3 linked regions of the Macaca fascicularis genome follow. The protein of the gene in region 2 purifies or fractionates together with the protein of the main gene of each other region. This does not show direct contact. Links are inferred from orthologs where the notes say so. Each region holds a gene or a part of one and is shown on either strand. Other genes may lie near its edges.

Evidence for each region.
Region 1: the proteins of STRIP2 (region 2) and PPP2CB purify together in Homo sapiens (affinity purification with mass spectrometry; 3 studies listed by BioGRID and IntAct, counting the BioPlex papers as one, with this or other methods). This does not show direct contact. The link is inferred for Macaca fascicularis from reciprocal best matches to the Homo sapiens genes STRIP2 and PPP2CB.
Region 3: the proteins of STRIP2 (region 2) and SIKE1 purify together in Homo sapiens (affinity purification with mass spectrometry; 3 studies listed by BioGRID and IntAct, with this or other methods). This does not show direct contact. The link is inferred for Macaca fascicularis from reciprocal best matches to the Homo sapiens genes STRIP2 and SIKE1.

What each region holds. Positions count from the first base shown.
Region 1 is NC_088382.1:34,023,702-34,029,223, reverse strand, and holds the start of PPP2CB (serine/threonine-protein phosphatase 2A catalytic subunit beta isoform), read left to right. Parts: upstream 1-2,057; 5' UTR 2,058-2,467; coding exon 2,468-2,569; intron 2,570-5,522.
Region 2 is NC_088377.1:170,926,938-170,931,962, forward strand, and holds part of STRIP2 (striatin-interacting protein 2), read left to right. Parts: intron 1-1,126; coding exon 1,127-1,362; intron 1,363-1,623; coding exon 1,624-1,689; intron 1,690-2,427; coding exon 2,428-2,491; intron 2,492-3,521; coding exon 3,522-3,593; intron 3,594-5,025. UniProt on the Homo sapiens protein: Plays a role in the regulation of cell morphology and cytoskeletal organization. Required in the control of cell shape. Calmodulin-binding scaffolding protein which is the center of the striatin-interacting phosphatase and kinase (STRIPAK) complexes.
Region 3 is NC_088375.1:119,597,523-119,602,547, forward strand, and holds part of SIKE1 (suppressor of IKBKE 1), read left to right. Parts: intron 1-1,000; coding exon 1,001-1,102; 3' UTR 1,103-5,025.

The sequences.
Region 1 (5,522 bases), on a different chromosome or scaffold from region 2:
AGGAGCTCTTCCAGCCTTATTTCCAACAATATGATCTATTTCTGTTGCTAGGAGAATTTATAGCTTTCCAAACAGACAATGAATGGTCTTTCACTCGTTTGTCTTCTGGCGCACACACAAAAAAATTCCTTAGACCTTCTTTCCTCTTCTCCAGGCAACTTCAAGGTTTTGCCTTGGGAGAAAGTTGAAAATTCAGTTCAAACACCGCCTTTCTAAAGCTTTCTGTAATTGTTCCCTAGGAGGGATAAGGTAACTAACATATCGCTCCCATATGGTACTATTGGGCAGGAACTTTTAAAACTTAATCTTCACAAAGGTAGGCCTTTTACTGATTTTATCAGATGAAGAATTTGAGGCTTAAGGAGGTTTGATGATTGCCCAAGGACATAGCTAGGGGGTTAGCAAACACAAGAACCCTTGCTTTCTGATACAGGATGTTACCTTCCGCTTGGGTCAGCTGCAGTAATATGTACCTTTAATAGACACAGTATGATCATTTAGCACTTGCTATTCAAGGTATCTGGTAGCTAGCAGTTGCTCATGTTACGTAACTGAATTTAGGTCCTCCCACCAGCATAGCAAAGCCAAACACTGACATTGGGGTTTGCAGTGAAAGGGAGGCATTTATTGCATCACACCAACCAAGAAGAATCAGGCAGCTCATGCTTAAGACCCCAACTCCCTGATGGTTTACAGGTAAGAGGTTTTTTGTGTGCTTTTTTTTTTTTTTTTTGAAATGGAGTTTCGCTCTTGTCACCCAGGCTGGAGTGCAATGGCGAGATCTCAGCTCACTGCAACCTCCATCTCCTGATTTCAAGTAATTCATCTGCCTCAGCCTCCTGAGTACAGGCGCCTGCCACCATGCCCAGGAAGTTTTTGTATTTTTAGTAGAGAAGGGGTTTCACAATGTTGGCAGGCTGGTCTCCAACTCCTGGCCTCGGCCTCCCAAAGTGCTGGGATTACAGGCATGAGCCCTTGCACCCAGCACAGGTAAGGGTTTTTAAAGGCAGGGAGGCAGATGTTACAGGCAAAGTCATAAATCAATACATGGAGGCTATACGTGGGTTTGATCTAAAAAGCCAGGATATCTGAAGTAGGGACCCACAGGTCATAAGTGGATTCAAAGATTTTCTGATTTGTAATTGGCTAAGGAGGCAAAGCTTTGAGAATTCTTCCAGGCTCCTCAGGAAGAAATTTAGAACAAAGATAGGTAGTTTGAGATCTCCATGATAGTGGACACCATTTTCCATTTGGTGAGGTCCAGGTTTCTGAAAAACAACTCAGGGACATATGTTGTCTCCAGTTTATATAGGGAAGCAAACATTTTGTGAATCTAACGTCCTTGGCTACTGTCTTAAGCTATTATTACCTTCTTGCTTATCAGGTTGCTCATTGACTTATTGAGGAAGTTAGGTGCCTGGAATGTCCCTTCGGGGAACTCAAGATTTTCCTTTATTTCCATGCTTGGGGAGGGTGGGGGTGGGAGTGCCTAGAAGGCCCCTAAGAGGGGTCCCTGCTGTGTCTCACTCAATAAATATTTGTTGAATGAACAAATCATTACAACTCAGTACACATTGCAGAAAACACAGCCAAGAGCGCTGGAGCTAGAAGGGCCACAGATTATCCTACAGAGCAATCATTTCACTTTTCTAATGTTGAAAGGGAGGATTCAAGATGTTAGGGCTACAGGCAAGCCTGGAAATAATTAATTTACTCCACCATTATTGAATGCCTACTATTGAGTGCTAGACTCTGGGGAGACAATGTTAAGGGAAGCCCAAGTTTTCCAATTCCCTGTTCCGAGCACTGAAAAAGCACTGCAGGAAGCTAAAGTGAGGACAAAGTTCCCGGAGATCAGGATATCTAAAGGGAGAACCAGCAGAGCTTGGTCTTGGGCAGGGTTGGGACAGGAGGGATCCTGGCCTCCTCCGACCGTTTCTCCGCCAAGCCACGCGAGGGCGCCGTTCTGCCCCTAGCGCGCCGTGTCCCGGCGGCGCCGCCGCCTGCTCGCCTTTTCCCGGCGGAAATGCCCGAGCGATGACGGAAACCCGGAGGGAGGGAAGAGAAAGAGCGAGAGAAGGGGAAAGATACCCGGGAGAGGCCGGCAGGCGTGAGGCGGGCCTGAAGCGGTAGCTGGCGGCCTTCGTCCGGCGAGAGCTAGTCCGAGGGCCCGCGCCGCCCTCCCAGCACCTCCCCGCGTCCTTCACCGACTCCTGCGGCGCGCGGCCGGGCGGGGAAGGGCGGGCGGGGGTCTCCTACAGGCCTCGCGCTCGGAGCCGCCTGCTGGGCTTGGGCGGGGCGCGGGGACCGCGGCCGCCCTCCCCGGCTCGGTCCTCCCCTTGTGGGATCTGGCGACGGCGGCTGAGGGAGAGGGGAGCGGCGCCCGGGCCGGGGCCGGGGGCGGGTGGGGAGGGGGGAGGGCAGCGGCCGGGCCGGGGGTCGGGATCCGCATCGGGATCGGGCCGCCATGGACGACAAGGCGTTCACCAAGGAGCTGGACCAGTGGGTCGAGCAGCTGAACGAGTGTAAGCAGCTGAACGAGAACCAAGTGCGGACGCTGTGCGAGAAGGTGAGGGCGCCGCGGGGGCGAGTGCGGGAGCGCGGAACTGGGACGGGCCGCAGCTTTCCTGCCCGCCCCGGCCCGTCCGCACGCTGGCCCCGGGCCCGGCGCGGCCCACCGGGGGCCCGCGGGGCTGTGGGTCCGGCTCCGGCGTCCACCCGGGCGGCCGGCCCAGCCGTTCCGGCCCCGGGGCGTTGGGCTGCCCTCGCCCGGCCCCTCTGCCTCCGCGTGGTACACGCCCCACGCCCCCGGCCCAGATCCTGGTGGTGGGAGGCTCGAGTGCGGGCGGGCGGGCGGGGAACCATAGCCCCCGGAGCCAAGCCGGAGGTTGGTCGGGGTCGCCTGCGCTCCACTGGAGTTCCTGCCACTCTGGCATTTCCCGAGTGGAATAACGAAAGCGACATCCGAAAAAGGACCATTTTCAGACCAGTTTCTGAAAATGCACCTAAAATTAACCAGAATGTCGTGCCTATTAATGAACTTGTTAATAAATGTAGAATTTTTGTCAGGTGAACGGGGCACCTCGGAAATCACTAACTCAAGCCGGGCGCGGTGGCTCACGCCTGTGGTCACAGCTACTCGGGAGGCCGAAGCGGGAGGATTGCTTGAGCCCAGGAGTTAAAGACCAGCCTGGAGCGCAGAAGTTAGAGACCAGTGAGGCCCCGTCTCCACAAAAATTTTTTTTAAAAAATTAGCAGGGCGTGAGGGCGGGTGCCTGTAATCTCAACTATTCAGGAGGCTGAGGTGGGAGGATCGCTTGAGCCCAGGAGGTGGAGGCTGGCTGCAGTGAGCCGAGATCGCGTCACTGCACTCCAGCCTGGGCGACAGAGCGAGACCTTGTCTCAAAAAAAAAAAAAAAAAAAAATCACTGACTCTTGAATGTGTCAAGCGTTTGTTTGTGGAGAGGTAGGCGTGATGGCCAACTGTGATTTTTAAAATAGAGGTTGACTTTGGTGGAAACAGATGGTGACTGGTCTTTGCGTTGAGCGGCTCTTGGAAGTAAAGCGTTGATTCAGAAACGAGAGCTGGTCTTAAGTTTGGGAACAGTGTTTGCTGGAAATAAATGGGATGTGTGTTTTCATGCACGATAACACTTTGCAGAAAGTTATTTTTGTTTTTAATATATATAAAGTTTTTTTCTTTTCCAAAGAATAATAAAACATGCAGGTGATCAATTTCGTTCTTGTACATCGTGTGTGATCTTCACTTTCTGAATTCTGTATCCATTGTTTTCTTAACTCCTGGAATTATTTCGATCTCTCCATCTTTAAAGTCTAGAGTTTTCCAAATTCATCCTTTACAAGGTGGACTAAATAATTTTCATGTATTTTTATGTTAAAAATTCTCACTTGAAGTCCATGAAGAAGTAAAGATGTTATTTTAAGATGTAATGTATACAATTTTCTTAACCATAATGTTTGGAAGTCATGACGTCGCAGAAGTAGGTGAAGAAAAGATTTTGTTAGTCTAATTTTAGGACACTCTTAAAATCATGAAATTTACTTAGGAAAGGAGCACTAATAGATGGTGTTAAGTTAAAATAGTATTTTTAACGGGTGTAATGTTGGCTGGGGCCTTTGTGTATTAAGTAACTGTTAACACAGGAGGATTTATTTTTGTATATAGAAGTGCCAAGCAGGTGGTACTTTTCTCTTTCTGAAACAAACTGCTTACTTGTGACTTCAGTCGACGTTCATTTTTATTGTGATAACCTGTAATTTCATGAGGCTTAAAATGTATGCTTTAAACATCTCTCTCAAGCTCCAATGCCAAGTGAAATGTACAGGTTTGAAATGAGCTGAGTCAGTTAACCTGACTACGAGCATCAGAATACAGACTTGAAGTTAAGGGCAAAGTGTTAGTTGAATCAGTTTTTTCCATTGACTCTTTTTTTTGTTTTATTTTTGTTTTGAGACAGAGTCTCACTCTGTAGCCCAGACTGGAGTGCAGTAGTGCCATCTCTGCTCACTGCAACCTCCACCTCCTGGGTTCAAGGGATCCTCCTGCCTCAGCTTCCCGAGTAACTGGGATTACAGGTACACGCTGCCATGCACTGCTAATTTTTGTATTTTTAGTAGAGATGGGGTTTCGCTTTGTTGGCCAGGCTGGTCTAGAACTCCTGACCTCAAGTGATCCCTCAGCCTCCCAAAGTGCTGGGATTACAGGCACGAGCCTCGTGCACAGTCCCCATTGACTTTCTAATAATTTTAAGGTGAACTCCTAGAGAAGAATATTGTACCACTGCTGTACTTTGAAATAATCACACCGGAGTGTCAACGATCACTTGAGGAAGCTTTCTGTATTTGTCGAGAGATTATTTTTACTTCGGCTCCTAAATAAATCAAACTAACAGTTCCTAGGACTTCACAGGTATATTTAAGATTATCTCTTGTATCTTACTAGCTTTTTTTTTTTCTTTTTAAGATGCAGTCTTGGTGTATCAGTCAGGCTGGAGTGCAATGGGGCAGTCACTGCTCACTGCAGCCTCGACCTCTGGAGCCCAAGGGACCCTCCCACTTCAGCCTCTCAAGTAGCTGGGACCACAGGCATGTGTCACTGCACCGGGATAATATTTTTTTGTATGGGGTCTCACCATGTTCCCCAAACTGGCCTTGAACTCCCAGGCTCAAGCGATCCTCCCGCCTTGGCCTTCCAAAGTACAGGGATTGCAGGAGTGAGCCATCACTCCCAGCCCTTTTTTTTTCTTTGAATATTTGTACTCACCCACAAAACATGAATTTGTTAGTGAAATTCATTCATCTTTGTTCTCTTCCCCCATTGATGGAGTTGCCAGTGGGATGGAGAAGTGTGATAATACTCATATCTCTACTCTTTTGAGCCGTGCTTAGTTTTGCAACCCTCTTCTGGCAGCTATGACCTAGTTTTGTGGTTTGTGTGTGCATGTGTATATATACATATATATGTTTTCTGACCTTAGTTTCTAGTTCCGTTTTATATCTCT
Region 2 (5,025 bases):
AAAGGCTTACATTTAAGAGATGACTGGGTAGGGGTCTATGTATATAACCGTGTGACACTTAACGACAGGGATACAATCTGAAATATGTGTCATTATGCAATTTTGTCACTGAGCAAACATCATAGAGTGTACTTACACAAACCCAGATGGCATAGCCTACTGCATACCTAGGTATATACCCTATTGTTCCTAGACTACAAACCTGTACAGCAGGTTACCATACCGAATACCATATGCAATTGTAACCCAATGGTGTTTGTGTATCTCAGCCTAGAAAAGGCACAGTAAAAATACAGTATTATAATCTTATGGGTCCACAATTATGTATGCAGTCCATTGTTGACTGAAGCATCGTTGTGCAGCACATGACTGTAGTCTGCTGTCCTAAAAAGGTCAGAATGACAGGTTATACTGAGACCTGACTATGTTCTTACAAACTCCCCTGCCTGACCTACTTGAGTTCATCAACAGGCTAGACAGTAGTGCTCAGTAATCCAATCTCCGTTATCTGCAATAAAATTTTTTAACCTTTATTTTTGTTTTATAAAGTAATGCTTACTCATTGTAGAAAATTTGGAACAAATATAAAAATGTGATGACGGGAGAAAAGAAAAATCACCCACAATCTTAACAACCAGAGACAGTCACTGTTAACTTTTTGGCCTATTTCTGTCCAATCTTTTTTTCTCTGTCACAAGATTTAAAATTCCAAACTTGCTTCCCTCTGCCTAGCAGCAAGCTTCTGTCCTCCTCTTCCTCAGTCAGCCAGCTGGTGTATGCTCACAGAAGGCAAACTAATTGAATGTTCACCTAAGCAGAGCATAATTAGGAAGGAAAGTGCTGGCAAAAAAAGGCATCACTGCTTTCTGAAAGCTAAGTAACTGACTTTGGGATTATCTATGCTCTGTTCCCTGGCTAATGGCAGGGTTGCCTGAGAACTTCTTGTTCTGTTATTGGTTCGGGTGGGGACAGTAGGGTTGAGATGGGGAATTGGATGTTTTCACAAGGGCTGTGTTCAGATTCCATGTTCCCTGAAATCTGGAGGTCTGTGGATATGGGGTGGCCTCAGACAAGGATGCCCAGAGTGAGCTCTCTGCACGCCTACCCTCTTTTCTTTCCCCTCCAGCAACTCCTCACTAAGCAGGACAGCCTGGACATCTACAATGAAAGGGATCTCTTCAAGACTGAGGAGCCAGCCACAGAGGAGGAAGAGGAGTCTGCTGGTGATGGAGAACGAACCTTGGATGGAGAGCTAGACCTGCTAGAGCAGGACCCTCTGGTGCCACCTCCACCCTCAGAGGCACCCCTCTCTGCTGAGCGGGTGACTTTTCCCAAGGGCCTGCCCTGGGCCCCAAAGGTCAGGTAGGTTTAATAGCATCAGGGACCCCTATGCTTTGGGGTTTCAGTCTCTAAAGGCCCAAGATGGAGTAGTCTATGTATTCAAGGCTCGTTAAGTTGGTCTGGCAGTCAGAACTCCTGGGTTTGAAATTCCTTCTGTTGATTGCTGCCTTTTTCCACCGCTCCAGTCCTCTGATTGGAGGGGTAGGAGCCTGGAAAGTTTCTCTCTCTCAAAGTTTGCTTTTCTTCCCTTCTCTGGGATTGGTCTTTCCACCATCTTCTCAGACAGAAGGACATTGAGCACTTCTTGGAGATGAGCAGGAACAAGTTCATCGGATTCACCCTGGGGCAGTAAGTGACTGGTTGGAACTGGCTATAGAGTGGTTCCTAGGGGCCAGAGGAGCAGGTAGCTTGGAATGAGGGATGGTGCTTGGTAGTCATAATGTAACCTAGAGCCCCTAGGCCATGGACAACTCCCAGTGACTACTTTGGGTTCTTTCTATGGATTTTTTTTTTTCCTTGAGTTTCTTCCACTTTTCCTCAAAGAACTTTTGTGTTTTTTGCCAACTGTAGGACTTTGAGCAACAAGTCCTTTCTCTTTTGGGCCTTAATTTTTTCCTGAGGTTATTGAGTTAGATGGTTTCTATGGGCCCTTCCTGCTCAAATGGGCTAAAATTCTGTGAAGAAGAGACATGGTTAGAACGGATCCAATCTTCCCCCATTTCCCCATCTTCATGAATCCTTCCCACTGACCTCTTGAAAATTGAGTCTTTATTAGTGGAGTTTCACAGTCAAGATGTCATTGGGCTATACCCCTTTTAAGTAGGAATCTACCACTCCCACACCAAGTGAGTACCCAAAAGACTATAAAAGTCTCCTGATTTCCAGGAACATTTCTGTGTGCTATTATTATTTTTGTGTCCTGAAGCACTGATGTGGGATCTACAAGCTTGCAGAGGAAGGTCTAGGGTACTGGGGGTAGATGTTGTTGAAAGTAGCATGGTCCGTGTGACTCTAGGGGGATATTGGGGTATCAGTAGTTCCCTGTACTTTGGAAGCTTATGATCTGGTATGTCTGGCCTTTTACAGGGACACAGATACATTGGTTGGATTACCCAGGCCCATCCATGAGAGTGTGAAGACCCTAAAGCAGGTGACCAGGGTGGGCTCTCAGTCTTCAGGGATAGGGAGCCATCAAAGCAGGTCAGATTACCAGGCTCCTGGATACTGGGTGGGGCTTTTTTTTTTTTTTTTTTTTGAGACAGAGTCTTGCTCTGTCCCCCAGGCTGGAGTGCAGTGGCGCGATCTCGGCTCACTGCAAGCTCTGCCTCCCGGGTTCACGCCATTCTCCTGCCTCAGCCTCCCGAGTAGCTGGGACTACAGGCGCCCGCCACCTCGCCCGGCTAATTTTTTGTATATTTAGTAGAGACGGGGTTTCACTGTGTTAGCCAGGATGGTCTCGATCTCCTGACCTTGTGATCTGCCCGCCTCAGCCTCCCAAAGTGCTGGGATTACAGGCGTGAGCCACCGCGCCCAGCCCGGGTGGGGCTTTTATACCAGACTCTTTCTGGACCTTCTGTATTCCCCCTGCAGTCCTCTGGCCGGTTAGGAAAACTTAGGTCTCTCTTTACTTACTCAGTTTCCCATATTCAGGTAGATTTTAAAATTCTCCTTTCTTCCTCTCATTTCTTTTTCCTCTTCCCATTCTTCTCTCTCTCTTCCCATTCCTTGCTTCTTTTCCTTTCACTTCTCTCTCTCCATAAGTCCACTGACTTCCAAAGGCCCAGGATTGAATAGGAGCCTGCTCTATATCCATTGTATGCATGGAGTCATCACTCCGTGCATACATGCACACGCATCAAAACTCTTAGGGCAGTGGTCCAGGGGCAGGGGCCTGTTTCTGGCTTCCCCTTCCACTTTGTTTGAAGATAAATGCTTACGTATTTGCTGCTCTTCCGCGAATGTAGAAACAGAATAAACAGAAACACTGTGCACAAAGCACTTTGACTGGTGCTGATAATGCGGAGGTGATTAAGACTCCTGCCTTGAAAGAGTTCATGTCTATGTGGGGTGACAAACGCATAAGCAGAACATTTCCTTGCTTTTGGGGAATTTAAGTAAGAGATTGGTACACATGTGAATGAGGCCCTCAGCCCTTGTTGATGTCTTCTTATCTTTGTCAGCACAAGTATATCTCCATCGCAGATGTGCAGATCAAGAATGAAGAGGAGCTGGAGAAGTGCCCTATGTCTTTGGTGAGCCAAGGAGGTCCTGCACAGGAGAAGAGTAGAAGAAAATCTGTCTTCAGTGTTGTCACAGAGCATGTGTGCATGCATTCATTTCAGCATATTAGGCTCTAACTGTGTTCCAGGCAAGACAAGGTCCCTACTTTCATGATATATTGAAGTTGAGGAAGAAAGATAAAAAACAAAAAGTTAAGTAAACCAAACTATCAAAGAATGGTAAATACAATGAAGAAAATTTAAACAGGATAACATGAAAGAAGCATTGGTAGACTACTAAGATTGGGCAGCCAGTAGGTGGACCTCTGAGAAGGTGACATTTAAGCCAAGATCTGAGGGACAGGGAGCCAGCCATAGGAACATCAGAGGAAAGAGCATTCCAAACAGAGAGAACAGCCTTAGCAAGGGGAAAGCAGGTTTAGAGTGTCAGAGGTAGTGAAAGAAGGCTCTTGTGGCTAGAACACAGGGCCGAGGGCCGGGATCCTACAGATAGAGTCAGAGAGGTGGCCTAAGGCCACTTTGCCAAGAGCCTGTAAGCAAAAGTAGAGAGCTTGAAGTAGACTCACAGTCAAAGGGAAGGAAGCCTTTGGAGATTTTAAGCAGGGGAGTGATATGATCTGATTTATGTTTCTAAAAACATTAGCTTCTGTGTAAAGATTGGACCAGAAAAGTGTAGACCCACTCCAGGGAGATTAGTTAGGAAACCCTTGAAATAGTCAAGGTGAGAGATGATGCCGACCTGGATTTGGAGATGTAGCTGACAAGACTTGCAGTGCATTTAGATGTGGTTAGAGAGGCAAAGAAAGGAATCAAGAATAAGTACCATTTGCCAGGATGTGGGGGGAATATCAAGAGTTCTGTTTTGGTCATACTAAGTTTTAGATGCCCATTAGATACCCATGTGGAGCTGCAGGCAATTGGAAATACAAGTCTAAAATTCTAGGGAGAGGGCTGACTTTGAGAAATAAATTCGGAAGTTGTTTGTAACACTTATAGGCAGTGTTAAAGGCCATAGAACTGACTGAGATAACCCAGGGAGGGAGTAGAGACAGAAGAGAATGGAAGGCAGGACAAAGTCCTGGGGCACACCAGTATGTTGAGGTGGGCATGTGTCAGGAAAGGAGCCAGAAGAGTACGAAAGACAGTGAAGTGGCTGGAAATCCAGGAGATTATGATATCATAAAAGCTAAGAAAGTCTTTCAAGAAAAAAGGAGTGATCTGCTGGGTAAAATGCTACTAATAAGTGGCATTATGGTAAGAACCAAGGTGCCCATTGGATTTGGCAACATGAAGATAATGACCTTGATAAGAGCAACTGTAAGTGAAGTAGTGGGACTGAAAGCCTAATTGGTATGTATTGAAGGGAATGTCAAAAAAGGAGGTAGATGATATAAAAGTTTTGTGAAGAGGAGAGAAAGTGGATGGTAGCTGAAGGAGAATGTGA
Region 3 (5,025 bases), on a different chromosome or scaffold from region 2:
ATAATCCTAGTATCATATGATATTAAATAGTATGTAAATGCTAGGAGACAGATACAAATACTGAAGATTCATCGACCACAGGCTCTAATCTCTTAGTTACTCTAGCTGGGACTTCCGCACATCTTGGTGAAGCTAAAAATGCTTTGGTTTACCAGAATTTTCTGCAGAGAATAAGGATGAAGAGCGGAAGCTACTCTCTCTAGAAATCAAAGGTAGTGACAGGTCCCAAGGAGGAATTAGGAGCTAGTGAAATGATAGCATGACCTTCTATTTATCCTCGATTTACCTCACTTATGGAAACAGCCCTAAGGAAATGTGGGACAAATTCTACCTTAATACTTCAAGTAGAAAAAACATGACCACTAGATTCAGACCCCAGTAATACCACATCCAAGTTGTCTGAATTTGGACAACTTTTAGGAATTTTGTGAGCCAGAGCATCCTCATGAAATACATGGATGTAGGCAATGATACCTACCCTACAGATCATTGTGAGATAGCATATACAGGGCACCCAAGTAGTACCCAGCTACATGCTCAATAAGTAATTTCTTTCCCCCTTTCCTTCCATTTCTCTGGAACTATAAGATATCCAGGAGAGGAGATTAATCAGAGTGAAACGATTATTAGGAATTTTTTAAATAAAAGAAATAATAGTAAAACTGTGGGAACCATGAAGAATAAAACATAGTGAATTCCTCAAATGGAGAGGGACCCTGTTTTTTGTTTCTCCTTTGTAATTGTAACACTTGGTATATAGAAATTACTCAGTAAATTACTACTACAAAAGAGTATCATTGCCTACATCCTACATGTAAATGTTTGTTAAATGAATAAATAAGTAGTATTTAAGGAAATTCTCAACTAGTGGGTTTTTTGTTTCCTTAAAATTTTTTAAATTAAAAATAATGTTTTCTGCTCCTGGCTCAAAATAATGTGTTGTTGTAATGCAGCTTGACAGTAAATATACCAGAAATAAACATGCCTTTTTTTTTTCCAGCTTGAAAATAAGGAACTTCGAGAATTATTGTCCATTAGCAGTGAGTCTCTTCAAGCCAGAAAGGAAAACTCAATGGACACTGCTTCCCAAGCCATCAAATAACTGAACTCTGAATGATGGCTGGAGATTGTCTATCAAGGAAGGAAGTTACTATCTTCCCATTCAAGTACTGTCCATTAAGTGTCTTGCCTCAGATTTGATTTAATCTTAATTAAAGGTATCAGGTGGCAATTTAGAATTCCAGTCAATAATGGCTGTCCACGGTTCTCAGATGTGTTAATATGAATACATGCTGAATTTCACCATTCCTTTCTCAAAGAGACTACTTTTAATTTTCATTTCTGGGACTTTGATTTATATAAACTATGTTTTCAGTTCATTGTTATTTTTCACATCTTTGAAACTTTGAGCATTTTTTTATAAGCCAGCAATTTTATTTTATATAGCATTGTAAAATACACTTCTAGGAAATTTTAGGAAAGATTTAACTTTTTAAATCTATTTGGCATAAACCCTGATTTTTTTTTTTTCCATTTGACAAAATAATACAATTCCACAGAACTAGGTCAGCAGATTCTCTGATTTGTAATGTCATTCACCTGTGAAGTTTTAAGTCTCTCTGGTGCTAAGAATTGGCACTTTATAGCCTGGTGCCTTTACTTTTAATTTGAGAGAACCTACTGCTAGTCCCAGGAAACGTACTTGGAAATAAGTCAGCTATTTTTTTCCCCAGTGATACTATAGTTGTCGTATTGTTCAAAGTTCATACTGTTCAAAGCTGAGGAGCTTGTCCTGTGTATGCGCATGCACACGTGCACTTAGTTCAAATACTAAAAGTAGCTTTTATTAAATATAATCAGCCAAAAAAACACAAAAAATCAAAAAACCAAATATAAGTAGTCAGTTTTTCAATGTTATCGTATTAGTTCTATATTCTATTTTAATTTTTATACAATTTCCATTTTATAATCAAGAACCATCACTTACTTGGATTGGATGTCTTTCAGTCCTAGCACTAATAGGTAGTTGGCTTGCTTTTTTTTTTTTTTTTTTTTTTACATAGAAGCAGTTGTGTTTTTTGTTTTTTTTTTTGTTTTTTTTTTGTCTTTTTTCTGTTTTTTTAAAGCTATATAAAAAGGTGAGGAAGCAGTTTTGTTACCTAATGAAAATTATTACACTCATAATGCTGTGTAGACAACATTGAGATTCAAATGCTCAGTGGTCAGCTGGGTTCACTCATCAACTCATTCCCATCTCAGTTTACTCACATTTCAAATTTATAAATTCTTCGTGTTATACTATTCTATTTAGATTTGCCCAGAATTAATTGAAATAATGCTAAACCTGTCAATAGTTTCCAGTAACATTAAGCACCATACTGCATGGGAGAGACACAGTATTAAAAAGAGTTGTTAGTGCTTTATGTGATATATTTCTTTTGTAATGCTATAAAGAACTACAGTTAAAACAAAATCTTCCAAAGATGTCCTAAAAGCATCTGATCCCAGTAATAACTAATGGATGTCATCTAGAGCAGTGGGTGTTAATGAATAGGTATATGTCATTTAAGAATTTTTCAAATTTCTGTTCGATATCCTGCATAGAATTTGACAAAAAAACACCTCCAAGTGTGAGCATTTTTTATTTCATTTCCCAAGAGTAAGTAAGGAAACTGTTAGCCCAGCCATCTGCCTTGAAGTATACCTTAAGTGACCCATAAATCCATTCAAGAGGCAGGTACTCTATGCCATTTGGCAGCTATGGCCAAACTTACCATGGCCAGATTTCAGCGAAAATGATGAAGTAATCAAATTAAGGTATAATATGGTGTCCCTTTATCTGCTTTATGTTCCTTTAGAGCTGTTTATAAAGTTCTTTATATCTCAAGTGTCAGGATAAATCTATATATTAACTTTTCCCCCTGAGAAATTAAAAGCCTGAGGTACAAGTCTAAGAAGCTTTTAGTGCCCTACATAATATAAATTCTGGCTGGTGTTAATGCTATGAAGATAATGTGTAGTTAGAAAATTGAGTGGGGGAGGAATGCTTTTCATTTTAAGTGGATTTTAAAGTTTCTCTTTCAGTGGATGAAGAACTTGCCTGGTTTGCAAAAATCTTAGTTCAAAATTACATTTTCTAACAAAAACTGCATTTTGAGAAGATTAGCTGATTTTATTCAGTAATAAGTCAAATTAGGAAGTGCAGTGTTTTTTTACGTATATATATATATAGCAACCTTGTCAAGTGGTCCTCACAAGAGTCATACATACTTTGTAATTAGCACAGTATATTCAGCAGTGTATAACTCTACAAATAGTACCTTATATTAGTGTAGTATTATATCCATATCTTATATATGATTCTTATATTAATACCTTATGCATAATTTGATTCAAACATTAAAGGTCTATTTTAGTGTTCTTCAAAATGTGGTTCCCTGACCCACTGAAATAGAAATTTGGTGATGGAGTTCAAGAATTTATATTCTAATCATCCCAAAGAATTCCTGAAGACACTAATTTAAAAATGTCTAGTCTAGGCCCCATTGTGTAATAGTTAGCACTCTAAAAAATTAAAAAGAAAATAGTCTATGTGCCAACCACTTCATTAATACTTATGATTTTAAAAATGAAAAAGTCTGGTACAGGAGACAAGTATATATATAATTATAATGCAGTGTGATAAATCCATTATGTAAGTATGTATAGGATACAGAAGAGGGACTTTAAACTTGAGAATTCAATAGAGATAATAAATGGGTAGGAGAGAAATAGAAAACTTTGGTGCCATAAAAGCAAAGTATGTATGGTATTGCCAATAATGGCTACCATCTATTGAGTGCTTTACTGTCTTGTCAGGTACTATATTATATAATCTCCATTTTAACTGTACCTCATTTTGCAGATACTCAGGCACAAGGAGGTGGTTATTTGTCCAAACTGGAACCAAGATTCAAACCCAGACAGTCTTAAGCTCATTTTTAATCACTAACTAACTTGAGATGCCTAAATGCCAAATACTGCTGGGAGTTCAAGTGGTTCTTAATTAGCAAAATCTGTTTTTATCAGTGCAAAAGAAACACCACAGCTCATATATTAGAAAGTATTATGACTTCAATAAATGGAGTCTTAACTAATGAGATATTATTATTTTCTAGAATGGCGTGGCTGAGAGTATGTGTGCATTCAACTGAAAGGAATAATGTATAATCAGTGACTCTTACTATATACAGGAAAAGGTGCAGTTCTGTCTTTCAGATCTGCCTCCTTACCATATTGGCTTTCATCCCTCATGCTGTTTTCTTGTGTTTGCTAGAAAGTTGTTGACTAGCCAAGTGTCATGCCCATGTTGAAGGCAAGGAAGAAAAAATGGAAATGGCCTGTGCCAGCTATATATATTCCCCTTTTATGAGGGAAAGCAAAGCTTTCCCAGAAATTCCAAATGGATTCCCCCTTGACTTACTTGCCTGACCAGTTAAATGGCCACTGGTACCTGCAAAGAAAGCAGGGTACATAGCTGTCCCAAATAAAATCAGTATTAGCAAGAAGAAAGAATATTGAGAAAGCAACTAACAGTGTCTGTGACTGTTACATGTCTGTGACTGTTAACATTGTCAAGTCCTTTCCCTTTGAATATAGTTTTGGAAGAATTAGCTGAAGAAGTATGTTGATATTGAATGGCCAAGAGAATGGGCTGTAGCAGACATCTGTCATTTCTCTTTTGGCTGCCCAATATCCTAAATCCTGTGTTTAGGGAATCCCTCACCTAATAAGGCAGAGCATTCCTCCCTCCTAAAGAATTTGAAAGTACCAGGTAAATGTTTTATCAGCCTCCTTTGCAGCTAAGGAAGAAACATCTGCCTTCAACTTTAAAGTTAGTGATACAAAGAAGCAGGGAACCATGCAGATTCCTTTGAAAATGGTGACTAACAACACTACTGCATTCATCTCCACAGAGGAGCAGCAAAAGTGGTTTAATGATAACCTCTAATTCTATTTTTTTTTGGGGGGGGGGACAGTCTTGCT